Lepisosteus oculatus: one gene and its partners. Each later gene encodes a partner of the first gene's protein in a complex. Links are inferred from orthologs where the notes say so. Each region holds a gene or a part of one and is shown in the gene's direction. Other genes may lie near its edges.

Region 1 (5,251 bases):
ACACTTACTGTTAGATTCACTATCTTTTTTGTTTAATGCTAATATTGAACATCTTTCAGTGCTACTCATAATCTGACCCACAGCTTGACCGAAACATGTGTTGATGTATATTTGTCTGAATTGTATGCTTGCCATGGGTGTCAAGTGCAGAATAGTTATTTTCACCTTCACCTATTATTCTATATAGGCTAAGAAGACTTTGAGCTTGGAAATAACTGAGATTGTGGAATGGAATAAAACAAGCTAACAACACTTAATTTTAGGATTTACTGATTAGCATTCACATTTTTTGCACCCAGCCCTGCTGTCCTCTTGAAGATATTGCTCAACATGGCTTCATATCAAGGTTTGCAGAGCTATTTCCCCAAAAAATGGAGTGACTGACCTGTAACTGCTTAATTGCCTGTTATTGCACACACATCAGTGTGTGATTTGTACTCCATTATATTGTCCTGGAAGACCTCCAAAAAATGTTTATTTGTAAATCTTACTGACTGTACTGTGAACACAATGGTCTTTTACATGTGGGGTAGGATGAAATTTGAAAAAAAAACAGATAGACCTAGTTCAGCCAGGTAAAGGGCTTGTTCTGTTACAATATGTATATCCCTTTAAGTGGAGTCTGTATTAATTACGAAATGAGCACTACTTGAGTGGAATTTATCAGTTTAGAGGGAGGGTACATATCCGCGTTTGGTGGAGTTTGCCATTAAATCTGCTTGGAACTGTCAGCTTGTGCTGATAGGCAAAACTGAGCTAAACTTCTGACAATGGTTATTTTATGTACACGTAAAGTAAGGAAATAACTCAAGAGTGTCAGCCAACAAAGTCAGTGCAGTTTGTGGATTGGATTTCAGTTCTCTGTTACATAGTGCACACCAGCTCTAGTGCAAAAGCCCTTTTCACACATCACCAGTGCAGCCAGTGTGCGGTCTCTTCCATTCTTTGGAAATACTGTCTGCAGCCTGTTGCATAAGGCATACATCTTCACTTCAAAAAACAATTATAGGATTTGTAGATGATTCATTACATTGGAAGCACTAGAGGATGGAGGGGTTTTGTAACTTTAGCAAACAGGAGATACAAACTAAAAACACAAAAGGCAAACCCAGTTGCTTTAATGTAATTGTGTACTATAATTTACATCATTTAAAGAGTGTCTTAATCTAAAATGTGGTGCTGAAATTCCACTGGGGACCATGTTTTAATTTTTCAAGAGTGTCGTATCATGTTTTATCTCAACATAGTGCTGTGTTCTCCCCCCTGAAAAACTAGTAGTTTATTTTACAATCTTGAAGCTTCTCAGGGATGACTGTCTTTTGTGGAGGGAATATTGTTTCTCATTTTTCTTCTGCACTGTTCTGTATGAATGAAAGTATATGTACTCTAGTTAAAACATTTCAGTCGGGTGTGTGTCACCAGGCTGCGGATGTTTTCAGAAAGTGAAATAGGTTGTGTTCATGTGAGGGAAATACGTTTATATTTTATTTTTCTCACCATTGACCACAAATCTTAAAAGTGGCTATATTGCTACATTTGAGATGTATGGTCTGTTAAGGGGGCTGGACTGGGTTCCTTGTCCTATTTTCTGTGTCAGTTAAATTTCTGTTCTAATTAAATGCCTGTATACCATTTCCAAAATTCACTTATTTGTAAATAAAAAATGCCTTTTTCAAAACCATAGGTTTGTTTGCATTTTCAGTGGCACTCCCATTTATTGCATATTTTTAATGATAAGCTAGTAAATGGAGGCAAAAACATTCTGTAATTTCTGTCATTATTGATACAAAAACACAAAGACCTGCGGAGTTAGCTTCTGTCAATCGTCCATTTAATTGGGGCTAGATATCATTCTAGGTACCTAAACATTTATGAGAAATTAGGTGGTAATTTTCACTTCCGTTTGGCGAAATATTGCTTTTAGGATGATATTGTCTCTTTTTTACAGTTCTTAAACCAAAAAAACTTTGTTTCGTATGTCCTATTTCCGTAGTCGTACTGTGCAATTGAAGTATACAATTGTAATGGTATAACGACCTCCCATCAGCAGATGGCGCACACATTTTTGTAGCTTACCGAGGCCAGAAACTTGATCCTCCAACGTCCCACGCTGCTTTGAGGTGACCCGGAAATTCCGCCATTGAAGGGAAGTTCAGCGTGGGGGCACCGTCCGCAGAGAGAAGAAAAGAAGCGCGGTGTTCGACAGGAAGACCGGCCCCAGTAATTCTGTGAAAGTTTGTTTTTAAAGTTCTTTTTGAACCAGCAGAACTTACAGGACTATGGCGTACAGAGGCCAAGGACAGAAGGTTCAGAAGGTTATGGTGCAGCCGATTGTATCCTTTGAAACACATAGTACTCTGCGTGCGTTGTGTGAGCCGGGTGTGCATAAATGTTGTGTAGTTTGGCCTAGCTAGTAAGAACTCTTTTTATGTCTACATTGTCGGCGTTCGTACACTGCTATTTACGTTTGGTATGTTGACCTGACTTGTCGTATGCTTCTATGTGATTAACAGACTGATATACCCCTCTATTCGGTTAATATGTACGTTTTTTAAAATTGAAATAATTTGTAATAGTTTCAAATCAGAAAAGGGCATTCTACAAATTGTTTATTCAACTCTGGCCTTACCCAACATGGCATAATTCGCTAGTTTTTTGTTTTGGTATCACGAACGTATTAGATTCTTAACAGTAAATGATTCAGAAACTAGTAATTGGCATGCGCATTTACATTATTTGCTTTTTATTTATATCGCGTGTGATCTTAAAAGTGTGGATTCCCGCTGGAGACCGAAGGCTTTATTCATTTAAACTGATAAAGGAGGTGATGTGAGAAGAATTTATTAACTAATTTTCCTTGACTGATCCCTTCAGAATCTTATCTTCAGATATCTTCAAAATGTAAGTTTTGTTTCTTTGAGTTACTTTCAAAGTCATTAGTTAGCCTTTGGTTGCATTTGTTCAATGTATCGGCTACTTCTACACACGGATTCTCCGTTGAAGACCCAGGTCTTTCAAGTTTCCATGCTTCCAGAGCAAACACGTAATTACAAAAAAATATTTTTACATGATCGTGCTTATGATGTGCTAGGTGCCTGTGTATGAATGCTGAGAATGTATTCCAAAGAACATCATTAACATTTTCTGTAATGAAGGAGTCGGTGATCTGAACATTTTGTAGCCTGCCTGTATGTAACCTCAGTTAAAGAATCTGATAAAACAGTCCTGACACTTTTCACAGGGTTTTCCTGTCACACTGGAGCGGGCTTTTAAGCCTTCAACCACATCTTTCCTTCAGCTAGTTCACTCCTGTTCTCTCTCCTCCTCAGCGATCCAGGATCCAGGTGTGGCTGTATGAACAAGTTAACATGCGGATAGAAGGCTGCATTATTGTGAGTGAATCCTGAGCTCTTCCACAGAACTGCCCCTTTTCTCCAGCCCGGTTGCTGTGCTTTCTGCTTCTGATATCACACAGCAGGGTGTACCATTTTTCCATGACACAGGATTGGATACAGATCAGGTTTAATGGCAGTTTGATACATTTCAGGTTTTATAAGTAGTTTAAAATGGCAGTTGCTACTGCAAATGTATTGGAAAGGGGGTGGCATCATACCTAATATAGGACCTGGCACTTGGTTCTGGCTCCCTTAAAAGAACATGAAGCCAGGCTCAGATGAACTGCTGTTGGTCCAATTAAAAGCTGTTACATTGCTATAGTGTAATTTTGTGATAGTAGTATATACTACTCTCTGTATGGGGGGTTGTTCTCAATGTTCTATTCCAGGGATCTCCAACTAGAGTTCTCAAGACCCCAATCAAGCAGGTTGTATGGGTCACTATTACATCTCTAAAGAGATTTAACGTTACTATTGGGATCAATCTTAACAGATGGTAGTCTTAAATGACCTCTAAATCATTGAACTGATGAAAACTGGAATGTGGATATTTATTCTTTGTACATTAATTGGATTTCTTTATTGGAATGGACAGTTACAAGAAAATTGTCAATAAAGCATGCACATATTTAACAGAGACAAATGTTATAGAAGGGTTTTGAAAGTGTAAAAGTCTGGAAAAGGTCTGGGATTTGTCTATGGGAAAAGAGCAAGCACCGTGAGAGTCTGCAAGTTTTCCTCGTGTTCATGTGGGTTTCTGACAGGTGCTCCAGTCTCCTCCCACAGTCCATTCTGGTAGGCTAATTGGCCTCAGGGACAATTTGACCCTGATGGAAATGTGTGCGTATTTCTGTTAGTGTGTGCATCCTGCAGTGGACTGGTGCCCTGTCCAGGGTGTATCCTGCCTGTGCCCGTTGCTTGCTGGGACAGGCTCCAGCTCCCCAGCTACCCTGAATTTAAAGAAGCAGTTAGAAAGTTCGTTATAATATTAGCCAAGGGAAGCAGTAGGTTTTTTGTGTTGCTGTTTGCACATAAATGAATTTTCTGTGAAGATTAGGTGTGTCATTTTTGAGGGATCTACATTGACTAAATCCCACTTCTTTTTCCCTGACCATCTCTTATAATTTTGTTCATTTTAGGGTTTTGATGAATACATGAACTTGGTGCTTGATGACGCTGAAGAGGTTCACATGAAAACAAAAACCAGAAAACCCCTTGGTAAGCATGTTTGCATTTTTTTTTTTGGTCTTGATGCCCATGACTTTAGCTTTTTTTTTGGTACTAGTCTACATTAAAATGGCTATATGTCCAATTTAGGTGATGCTGAAACAAATACGTGGTTAATCTGAATGACCTGTTTCTTTCTCTTGCAGGACGGATAATGCTGAAAGGAGACAATATCACCCTACTACAAAGTGTGGCGAACTAGTGCACCCAGAGTATCCCTTGTTTAATGGCCAATAGTTTCTTTGATCGGTTGTAGCTGTTGTGGAGCAGGTGATGAAGTGTATGTTGATGGTCATAAGAGTAATTTAGGCTTTAACCAGCCAACTGTATAACAGACAGATGTATGCCGAATGGAGTCTTTCTGACCGCTTATTTTGTATTTTCTTGTGTAGTGTGTACCAATAAAACTGGAGTGCTTTTTGTAATCCTCTATTTTTATGACCAAGGTGATTTTATTTTGGGGAAATTGAACTTTAACATGGACTGGAGAGCACCTTTGAAACTGAAACTGATAGGAAAAGTGTGGACATTCCATTTATGTTGGGAGTGTTCTTCAGCCCCAAGTGATGATGCGGAGCAGTTGGATGTTGTGAAAACTATTTTTTGTTTTATATAAACTGCTCCATTAA
Region 2 (5,251 bases), on another chromosome or scaffold:
CAGTCCCAGTGATAGAGCTGCCGAATGGCAGGTACTTTCAGTTGAACAACACCATCTAAACAAATAAAAGGGCCTTGACGTGAATATACTCAGATATTACACTTCTGGTGTGTTACATAAAAACATAGCGATAAAATAAACACTGAAAACATGCAACCCTATATTGGACAAAGTGGTAAGAAATTGGATGGAGGAAATGTTAAATGCACCTACTGTAGCAACTAAACTGCCAAACAAGCAATATGGTCAATTGTTTCCTTTTATGCAGTAATACATATATAATTAGGGATCGTCAATGATTTCAAATTAGAAACTGTCTAATCCAGTGATTCCTAACCCTGGTACAGGAGAAACACTGCTTTTTTTTTCCTTCCAACTGAGCTCTATATCTCCATATCTCTATCTGACTTAACAGATCTGCATGCTTTTTTAGCAATTTATTTATCTTGTTTCTTTGTCTTGAATGCCACACATACCCTACTGTAAGGGTACTGTTTCCAACAACTACAGCACACAAACCTGTATGCAGTCTGTTCTCAAATTGCCGTCTAACTAATCACTGGTTGATAATGAACAGACACAGGTGGGAGTGAGAGTTTATCAGACATTCCCAGAATAGGCAGTTTTATTTTTCTTCTGCAGGAAGGTACAGTGAGTACTTCTCAGGCAGCACACACGCACGACACTCAGAAGTCGGTACGTGCTTGATACCAATTACGAATCCCATTTGGTATTTTAAGAGCTGAAAGCACATTTCCAAATGCGCACCGAAAACAGAACTGAAATCAACTACCTGCGATAAAATACACGGCTGGAGAAAAAAACACGGATATGAGCTACTCTTATCACTGAACTAAACTGTAAACACGCTGTACGGAGCTGTGTCAATCGGGATAGAGGGCTCAGTCACGGATGTTAACTCCATTTACGTGACCGGTGAATAAATGTACCTACCACGCTACTGTACGACCCAGGGTTTATTTACAGTTAATTCGATAGTGGTTCGTGTAGTGTTTTAACTTGTTTTACACGCAGGACAAGAAGTGCATAGCAGGTTGAAGGACATCTGTGCTCAGCCGCAAAGCGAACTTCTGAAACCAGTCACACCACTGCTCCTCTTAATTTATTTTCAGATGCCTGACGAGAAACAGTCGTGTACATTAAAACACTTAACACCTGTGGTAACAGGGCCCGCAACACCTCGACAGCACGACGGGACCTTTCCTGGAGCCTCGAAATCGTTGAATATGTTAATTTCCAACAAGGGCTGATTTAAAACAAAAACAAAGCGGGACCATCCCAAATCATCCAGTTCGTCGACACGGAGTACTACGCTAACGCTCCATCTTACCTGTCATTCTGTGCTGCTTGTTTTTTATATAATGCTGTTAAGTCCTTTTCACTTTCTGCGCACGATCTGGCGATTTTCAGAGAGGAAACCGTCTCAGCACCACGGCGCTGGGTCTGTTCGCCGGACATGAACATTAGGAGCCACAGTTACGACCCCGGTCCGGGCCGCCTCTCTCCGGCACTACAGTGCTGATCTGCTGGGCACCTCTGCCTGCATCTCCGCCGTACGCAATTTCCTCTTGCAAAACGAGGACTTCCACAGACGCTCATTTGAAAACCGCTGCGCCTACAGCGCCCTCTAAACACAGTCAAGGAGGGACGAGAACTAGAATAAATAGGCTGTTCTTATAATATATTGTACTCCAGTGTACTACTCGTGACAGTAGATGGTGAGATATTCGGGGCGATCACAAATTATTGGGGAGCAACTTACAACTGGCTATTTCTTTTTTTATTTTAGTTTTGTTGGGTAGCTGCTTAGAGCCATTCTTAAACGTCACAAAATCAAGTGCATCTTCAACTTGTTTTTCTTTCCTTTTCAGAAAAAGAAGGGGTTTGGAATAAACCCAGCAAGTGACGAAGAAGAAGGTTTAATGAAATAATAAGAACTTATACATTGATGAGAGTTACTGTATATCTTTACAAATGTTTTTCGTAGCACAGTAAAAAAAAGTTGGAGCAACAGAACATGTTTCCTCCTTGTGTGGTATTTAGTAAAAAGAAAGCCCGTTATACTTATTTTCATTCTTGAGAAATTTTAGAAGACGTTATGTTGGTTAAACTACAAATCCCAACATTCATCATAACGACGGAAAAACCCAAATCGAACCGGAAGCACTTTGTGACTTCCTTTAACGCGTTGCATTGTGGGGTATTGGAAACGAACAAAATCGTACTCCGAGGCGGTCAGGTTTTAAACACGCTGCCGTTCACGATTAAAACCGGGAAACGGTTAAATAAGAGAAGGAATTCAATATTTGCTGTGAACAGGTAAGAATTTTATGTTTCATTACAAGTTGTAAGATATTACCTTTCTTTTAACGAAGGGAATCAAGATTATGAGTTCGTTGAAGGTAGGAAATGAACTTGATTTGAATGGCGTGGAAATACTTTACGTTAGAAAACAAATATACCTTCTCCTGAAGTATTTTCTCCCAGATGCAAAACAAAAACTTTTTTTTGCTAATGAGATGGGTTTTTTTTTTCCCATAGCTAAAGCTACCCAAGTCTCTTTGGGCTTTGCCATAACACAAAGGCCGTGTCGAAGTAGAGACCGTTTGTTCTCATTTACTGCTTTGAAGAATATGTTTCGAAAGTGCAGAATATCTGCTTCGAAGATTGTTTTAGTGAATGTTGCTTAACGCACTGGTCTATTATCTATAAAAAGAGTTGCCTAATTTTTTTTTTAATCTTGTGAAGTGCACATTATCACATCTATTTTGTAAAATGTATGCTAACAAACTGTCAAAAAAGTTAAAAGTACTAGTGAATTTTGCTCTGGGGTCCATCTTGATCACTGATAGTATATACCAGGTTAAATCAGATTGCTCTTTAGACTCGAACTAAACATGCGTACCTATGAGTAAATGCATCCAGTATCCAGGTTTTGATTCCTTTGTGAACAGCTAATGGCCTGCTTGGTCCATACAAACCCTTTACAATTGTCTAAATTCAAAATCTAATACTCGTTACTGAATGCATTTTAATCTTGTTACCTAATAACAGGCATTTACAAAAACGTGTGATGTGTAACCTTAACTTGTGTACAAACTGAGCTGCAGGACAGAATCTAATTTATCGGGCATGGGGTAGAGATGCTGGCTTTTTCCAAGGTATCCAGAAGCATGGTTTTTGTGTGTTCTAGCCTAATATTGCTCACCTGGAATTATTTGCCTCCCTGTCATGGTGTTTGTTTAGAGGTCCCAGTTAAAATGTCCATCGGAGTGCCTATCAAAGTTCTGCATGAGGCCGAGGGTCACATCGTCACCTGTGAAACCAACACGGGCGAAGTGTACAGAGGAAAGCTTATAGAAGCAGAGGACAATATGAACTGCCAGGTAAGCCTGATAAGTGGTTGAGATGAGAAATGCCAGGGGTCACAAAACCAAGCAAACCTTTTAGGCCAGTGACCCCATATAATTTCACACATTATGTGCTTTTGATGGATTCTTTGAATTAATCTCATGCAGAGTTGTGCACATGCAAGTGAATTTAAAGCTGCTTTTTTTTGTCTTCCAGATGTCTAATATCACTGTGACATACAGAGATGGACGTGTGGCGCAGTTGGAACAGGTCTATATCCGGGGCAGCAAGATAAGATTTCTAATCCTGCCGGACATGTTGAAAAACGCCCCCATGTTGAAGAGTATGAAGAACAAAAACCAGGGCTCTGGAGCTGGAAGAGGGAAGGCTGCCATTCTCAAAGCTCAAGGTATGTTGTTCACCAGACTCCAATTCAGAGGACAGTTCTCCAGGTGGTGTGTTTCTGTAGAGGACTTCAGCGTGATCAGCAGAACCCTACAGAAATATCAAAGTTATTGGTTTTTATTAAATTTATTCCTTAGCGTCCATCGTACTGATGACTGTCTTGAAATAAAGTAACGCCAGCTAGAAAGTGCTCTTCGATCACCACCTGCTGACGTGTGCATCGTTACTTGGTTCTACACCTACGTAATGACCTGGGTTAAAACTCCTTAGGTTTAGGTGCATGGGTTAAGGCCTTCATTAGAAGTAAGACATTCGTATCAGGTCACGTGGCTGCTAATAAGTTACTGATCTGAGGGGCCTGTCATTTCTTGAACGATGGAACTTATTCCAGAGCAGCAGTATTGTTGGTAATCTGTTGATCGGCATTGCCAGTTAGTGCAGCTTGTTTGCAATTATAGGGTGATTAACACGTACTGTATATTGTGTCCACTTTTTTCTTTTTAAGTGGCTGCGAGAGGAAGAGGCCGCGGGGGAATGGGAAGAGGAAATATTTTCCAGAAGAGACGATAACCCTCAATGTGCACTTCATGGCCTTTTCTTACTGTACAGTTTTTTTAAAAGGTTGGGTGATCATTCACGATGTTGTCTGTTAAAAGGCAAATCATTTTTGATTTTTTTTTTCTGGCAAGTTTTTTAGGTGCTCAATAAAAATAGGTATAATGTCCAGTGTTTGTGCAGCTCCTTTACTTTCACATTTTAACAAATCAATATTCAGTCAGTACTGTCTTTAACATTTGATTTACTGCAGTCGAATCTACATGAAAGGGGCAGCTGTTTATGTAATTCAACATATTGATCCTCATAACAGCCTTTAGGTTTGGTCTAAAGATGATTTTCAACTTCTGTCACTTTTGTACTGACTTATAATGAAGTTTGTATTGTAAGAAATGTCGGGTTTCCATTCAGTCTTGTTTCAAAAACATAATTCACCTTATGAGCTTCTCCAGAATTGATGCATTGATAAAATAATGTCTAGTGGACAACATAGTCTGGTTTTGTTTTAATAGTAATTCATATCTTTGGCCGTTAAATAAAAAACTTATGTTGAACATGAGTGCAGCTGTGCCTTTTTTTTTACTCTTCAGGTTTCATACTTTGTTCCCAGTGATCTGCTGGTGTTTCAGTTTTGTGTAATCTAAATCTGGCAGCTTACACATCTTCCACTCTAGTGTCTCTGAAGCTCCCTCTTAATTCAGCTGAAGCCATTTCTGACTCCCCCACCTGATCTGCTCTGTAGAGGAGCTGTTGGTGCACATCTACCACTTCTCTCAGGTGGGTGCTGCTCTTTGGCAGTGGGTGAAGTGCACATTCAAATATGCAGAGTGTGTTGAGGTGAAATGTTATAGAAATCCAATACATTAGAATATAGAGACTGATATAGTTTTACCGACGAGGCCAGTGCCATTCATGCAAC
Region 3 (5,251 bases), about 26 Mb from region 1:
GTACTATTGTCACCATCTAGTGTTAGAGAACAGGCTTGCATTTGTAAAGCTCAGTTCCACCAAAATCAATTTCTCATGTTTAATATATCACTAAACGCCTTACAATCCAAAATTACTAAAGATATATGCATATAATAGGTACATTTGTATTGTACCTTTGTCTTATTGAAGATTTATTCAATGTAACCACTGCAGTCATCAATGACATACATACCCTTTCCCGTTTGTGTCATGTCCTTTATCTCCATCCTAAACACCCTAGCTTTTCAGTCTATAAAAATTACAAAATGTTTCCTAGAAATTCAATGTTAAAAATATGGATCTAAACAACACCTTCCATTTATAAATATTTTTTCTACATATATATAGATTTCCCACGGGGTGCTTTGTTTTCATGCAAGGAAGGGTTTAAATCGCTCAGTGGTAGAAATGCTGTCTGTATGCTGCCATGTAATTTTGCAAACAGCCTATCTGGTGTTCGTTTAATATGCCATGTAAACTGTCAGTTGTCTGTCCATCTTGGGAAGTGAAAAACAAGGACAAATATGTCAGCAGGTTTTCAAAGTCTCTTAAAAGCAACAGCAGCTGACAAACTGGGAGAAGCGGTATTTACAGTAAATTGATTAGGTTAAGCCAGTAACGGCTAGTTACTGTCAATCACACTGGCCCTTGGATAGCAGTGTGGTCTGGATACCACAGTAGTACCCTTAGGAAAATAACCTTGAAGTTTTATATAAAATGCCAGAAGCTTCTATAAATACCTATAAGTCATCCATAAGTGATTTTCATAAGGATATCCATCCATCTATTTTCTAAGCACTTATCTGATTTAGGGTTGCAGGGGAGTTGGAGCCTATCCCAACAAGCAATAGGCACAAAGCAGAAAACACTTTGGACAGAACTCCAGTCCATCACAAGGTAGATACACAGACACACAGACACACCAGGGCCAATTTTCCCAGAAGCTAATTAACCTACCAGAATATCTGTGGATTGTGGGAGTCAACCAGAGCAACCGAAGGCAGCTCACGTGACCACAGGGAGAACATACAAACTCCACACAGATAGAACCCCAGGTGCACAATTGAACCCAGGGTCCCAGTGCTGCAAGACAGCAATGCTAACCACTGCAACCAACATGCTGCATTTCATAAGGGTATACATAACACAGTCCTCTTCAAGACTGATTGCAAACCAGCAAGTTTCAAGGAATAATTCATTGTATGCTTTCAATAACAATATTGTAACTGCAGACATGTTAATGTCTGTGTGCACATCCAAGGAACAAAAACAAACTATTTGAGTTCAGTTCAATGAAAGCAATTTACCAAGCAAATATGCTGTTGTTTTATCCAACTACAATTTAAAGAAGGGGGCCTTTACAAACAGTACAGTTTTTATAACAGTTTAGTATCTAAATCCCCCCAAACTCCCTATCAGTTGTGTCACATGGGTTTCAACATTTTAACTATAAAAAGGAGATAAAGTAATTAATGCATAGAAGAAAGTGTTATAAGCTCTTCATTCTGTATGAAAGGGTATTTGAACTTAGCTGTTTTTATGGCAAACTATAGTTTTATTGTTATTAATAGTTGTATTACTACTGAAAGTAATTAAATGGTACAAGTGTTGCTGAAATACCTTTGCCCTCTTATTTAAATGGTTGTTGCTGGTACAGAATTGAATGTTACCATTAAATGAAACTAAACTGCATTCCAAAACAACCCAATCTTAGATTCTGGAAACTCTGGAGGAGCACTTGCAAATTCTTAGATACTCTCTAGTACCATGATTTAAGATGACATGGTAAATAAAATAGTTTTAATTGAAATAAGACTAAAAGCAGCTGATGTGATACATTTAAAGTTATAAGTTTATTAAAAATGGCTTGACACATTTATTTGGTGTTTTCCACGAGAATTGTTCATATCTAAAAACGATTTTTTTGCGACCAAAAGACTATTTGTCCCATATGACACTCCGTAGAGCCTCTGACCCGTTCCGCGTTGCAGTCTGGGATATCGGAGGTTCTAGTTGTTGTGGAGCGTAATGTAAGATACAATTCATAGGATAAATAAGGTTTCTTTTTGTCATAATTAAATATCTAAGGCTTTAAAATAGAATGCCAAACATTTTATATTATACATTTAAAAGTGTTACATGTAAATCCGTTCAGATCGTTTTAGGTACAAATTATTACAATGTCGGTTTGTAGCTGAACAGCGTTCAATGAAAATTTTCGTACGTTCTCAAAAGGAATATTGTTGAATAATGTCAAAATTAACAGTACAATATTTTTATTTGTTTCGGGATTCTGCTCTATAATTTGTTTTAATTTACACGGTCTAACACAGGTTTCCGAATCTATCAAAACAGTAAAAGTTTCTAGCTTCAACAAATGTGCGTTGAACGCCTTTCTTTTTGTAATCCAGTACCGTGGGATTTCAGTTTAAGAAGCCAAACGTGAAATGTAGCGTTTTTTCACAGGCGTATTCTAAGTCTTCTATCATCGCATGCTAATAAATCTTGGATTTACGACTTTCTTACGTATTACAGCAACTTTGAGGCACTGAACGATAATGTTACACGCATGAACATGTGTCCCATTGCACAGAGGTGGAGGTGTCGGAACTACGTGCTTGGCTGCAGAAAACTGCTGTAATGAGTTTCACCAGGTTTACTTACGGCTGAGAACGAGAGGACCATCAATTGGCACTTGCGCGTAACACTGCCGTTTAAAAAGTTTGCTTCTTGAGCACAGTGAAAATATTGCCCTTTGCTCCGTTTTGCGTTTTTCCAGTGAGTGACGATGACTACAGCTGCCAGGCCTACCTTTGAGCCCGCGAGAGGAGGGAGAGGCAAAGGAGAAGGAGACCTCAGTGCTCTGTCCAAACAGTACTCCAGCAGGGATTTACCTTCTCACACCAAAATCAAATACAGGTTAGGCCTGCTAATCCAGAGTTGGGGTGGGGGGGATTTTATTTAGCAGTAGGTTCAACCACTCCTTGATTGTGAATGCTTCTATTTGTACCTTGTATATGATTTGAACCATGTATAGGTTTATTTGTACCTAAAGTTATTTATCTTGCAATAGTCATTATTTTTTTTCTGTGTAAAGAAGATTGGCAGGTGATGTTCTCACTCAGCACCTTCTTCTGAGAATGAAATTTGTCTTTTGGGGGTGTCTGGAAGTACATAAGCTCGACAGTATAGGTAGATTTCATTTTGAGGTAGAATTTTGAATTAGTTCCCTACTTTGCAACACATCTAAGTCTCCTTGTCTTGTCCTGTTTGCCAAGTATCTTCTGTGCTCACACACATGATATTTCTCTCAGGCAGCCCACCCAGGATGCCCCCGAGGAGGTGCGTGCCCGGGACTTCCGCAGGGAGCTGGAGGAGAGGGAGCGAGTGGTGGTCAGGGAGAAGACCAGGGACAGGCCAGCCAGAGGTGAACGGCACAGCACTAGCAGTTCAGGTTGTGCCGAGGCCTCCGAGCCAAGGCACCCATACTGTTTTTCAAAACCTGTGTGATGGGCAGGAGGAAATTGTGTCCGTTTGTCTTTTTGTCAGAATTAAAGGGGCACTGCAACACTATTTTAATATTTCGGGGTTAGAAAGGATTCAGCATCGATGAGGGCATTTCAAACCACAATAAAAGTAAAATGTGCACAGTAACTTGTAAAACCTCCAATTTACATTAAAAATGGATGAAATTTCCAGGTATGCACAGTGTTATATTCAGGGTTTCAGAACAAAATTTCTGGTGAGGTGTTGCAGCCCTGTGACTCTGTGAACAAGCAGGCTTGTGAATACATCTCATTTAATACATCTCTCGACTTTCAGATGGTTTTGCCAACAAATACAACTTATTTGTTAACTCTGTATGCAGATCACGTTGGAACATTTCTGCGGTGAAGTGTCTGCTGCACAGCCTGTCCTTATCCACTCATACATCACATTACATTAGTCATTACGGTGACTAGTGAGCAGGATGGGCTGCATCATGTCACAGTCCGTGGGAAGTGTTGCTCTTGCCTGCGGTGAGACCAGGGGTTTGCGATAACATGTCCACAGTACTTTCACAAATTTCGCGATTTTGTGCTTCATTCAAAATTTGTATTTTTTTTTCCTATAACGTTGATAAATTTGTTTTGTAACGGAGATTTAATAACCAGTCTGAGAAATTCTGACTGCAGTTCCCGTTTAAATGACTCCACAGCCATAGTCGATTTAAGGGCCTCTTGAGCTCATGCAGTGTTGTATATGAATCAAAGGCTTCTTGATGGATGTTAATACCCATGGTCTTGTTTTATTCCAGAGCACACCACATCCTCCTCCTCTTCTTCCAAGAGGCCACGGTTAGACCAGATCCCAGCAGCCAACCTGGATGCTGATGATCCTCTCACGGATGTAGGTGCCCTTAATAAAAATAAACTGATTTTATTTCCGAATTCAAAATCTTGTGGTTGGGGAAAATGACAGCTGGTGTGTGTGCGTGCTCCTAAACTGTGTCTCTCTGCCAGGATGAGGAGGAGGATGAGGACTCTGAAGAGGACAGTGATGACGACACAGCTGCCCTGCTGGCTGAACTGGACAAGATCAAAAAGGAGCGCGCAGAGGAACAGGAACGCAAGGTAATTCACGCCACATTCAGCAGCACTCAGCCTTTTCACAGGCTGCCTGGATGGACTGACTGTGCCTCAGTTGGGTCAGTGCTCTCCAGCAGCTCAGAGGTTCTATGAACAGGGGAAGAGTAAAATTTGTTCAAATTGTTCAGCTTGCTATTATTTCTGGGGGTGGAGCGGGGGCTCTGTGGCTAAGGATCTGCGCCTGTGGCTGGAAGGTTGCCGGTTCAAATCCCGCAGCCGGCAGAGGAATCCTACTCCGTTGGGCCACTGAGCAAGGCCCTTGACCCCAACTGCTCCAGGGGCGCTGTACAATGGCAGACCCTGTGCTCTGACCCCAGGCTCTCTCCCTATCCGTGTGTCTGTGTGTCTCATGGAGAGCAAGCTGGGGTATGTGAAAAGACAAATTCCTAATGCAAGTAATTGTATAGGGTTAATAAAGTGATATTATTATTAAAAAGAGAGAAGAAACAGATATGGCTCTTAACAGTGAAGAAGAATGAAGTGTTGTTCTATTCTTTATCTTATTTTAATCATAATATACCTTGTATGCTTTTAATTTTATTGTACTAACTATTTCTAGTGAGTCATTTTCCTCCTTGTATCCTGCATTCAAAGTGTGTTCA

The links.
Region 2: snrpe (region 1) and small nuclear ribonucleoprotein Sm D3 share a complex: the UniProt entries of both Homo sapiens proteins name them as parts of the U7 snRNP complex. The link is inferred for Lepisosteus oculatus from reciprocal best matches to the Homo sapiens genes SNRPE and SNRPD3.
Region 3: snrpe (region 1) and cwc15 share a complex: the UniProt entries of both Homo sapiens proteins name them as parts of the minor spliceosome. The link is inferred for Lepisosteus oculatus from reciprocal best matches to the Homo sapiens genes SNRPE and CWC15.

Annotation. Positions count from the first base shown.
Region 1 is NC_090700.1:38,045,381-38,050,631, reverse strand, and holds snrpe (small nuclear ribonucleoprotein E), read left to right. Parts: upstream 1-2,149; 5' UTR 2,150-2,279; coding exon 2,280-2,333; intron 2,334-2,874; coding exon 2,875-2,901; intron 2,902-3,329; coding exon 3,330-3,392; intron 3,393-4,534; coding exon 4,535-4,613; intron 4,614-4,768; coding exon 4,769-4,824; 3' UTR 4,825-5,054; downstream 5,055-5,251. UniProt on the Homo sapiens protein: Plays a role in pre-mRNA splicing as a core component of the spliceosomal U1, U2, U4 and U5 small nuclear ribonucleoproteins (snRNPs), the building blocks of the spliceosome.
Region 2 is NC_090717.1:9,777,496-9,782,746, reverse strand, and holds small nuclear ribonucleoprotein Sm D3, read left to right. Parts: upstream 1-2,194; 5' UTR 2,195-2,340; intron 2,341-3,267; 5' UTR 3,268-3,281; coding exon 3,282-3,407; intron 3,408-3,588; coding exon 3,589-3,781; intron 3,782-4,282; coding exon 4,283-4,347; 3' UTR 4,348-4,889; downstream 4,890-5,251. Other genes in the region: protein GUCD1, read right to left, coding at 1-55, 1,352-1,358. UniProt on the Homo sapiens protein: Plays a role in pre-mRNA splicing as a core component of the spliceosomal U1, U2, U4 and U5 small nuclear ribonucleoproteins (snRNPs), the building blocks of the spliceosome.
Region 3 is NC_090700.1:12,135,646-12,140,896, reverse strand, and holds the start of cwc15 (protein CWC15 homolog), read left to right. Parts: upstream 1-1,989; 5' UTR 1,990-2,051; intron 2,052-2,800; 5' UTR 2,801-2,809; coding exon 2,810-2,940; intron 2,941-3,335; coding exon 3,336-3,448; intron 3,449-4,318; coding exon 4,319-4,410; intron 4,411-4,523; coding exon 4,524-4,634; intron 4,635-5,251. UniProt on the Homo sapiens protein: Involved in pre-mRNA splicing as component of the spliceosome. Component of the PRP19-CDC5L complex that forms an integral part of the spliceosome and is required for activating pre-mRNA splicing.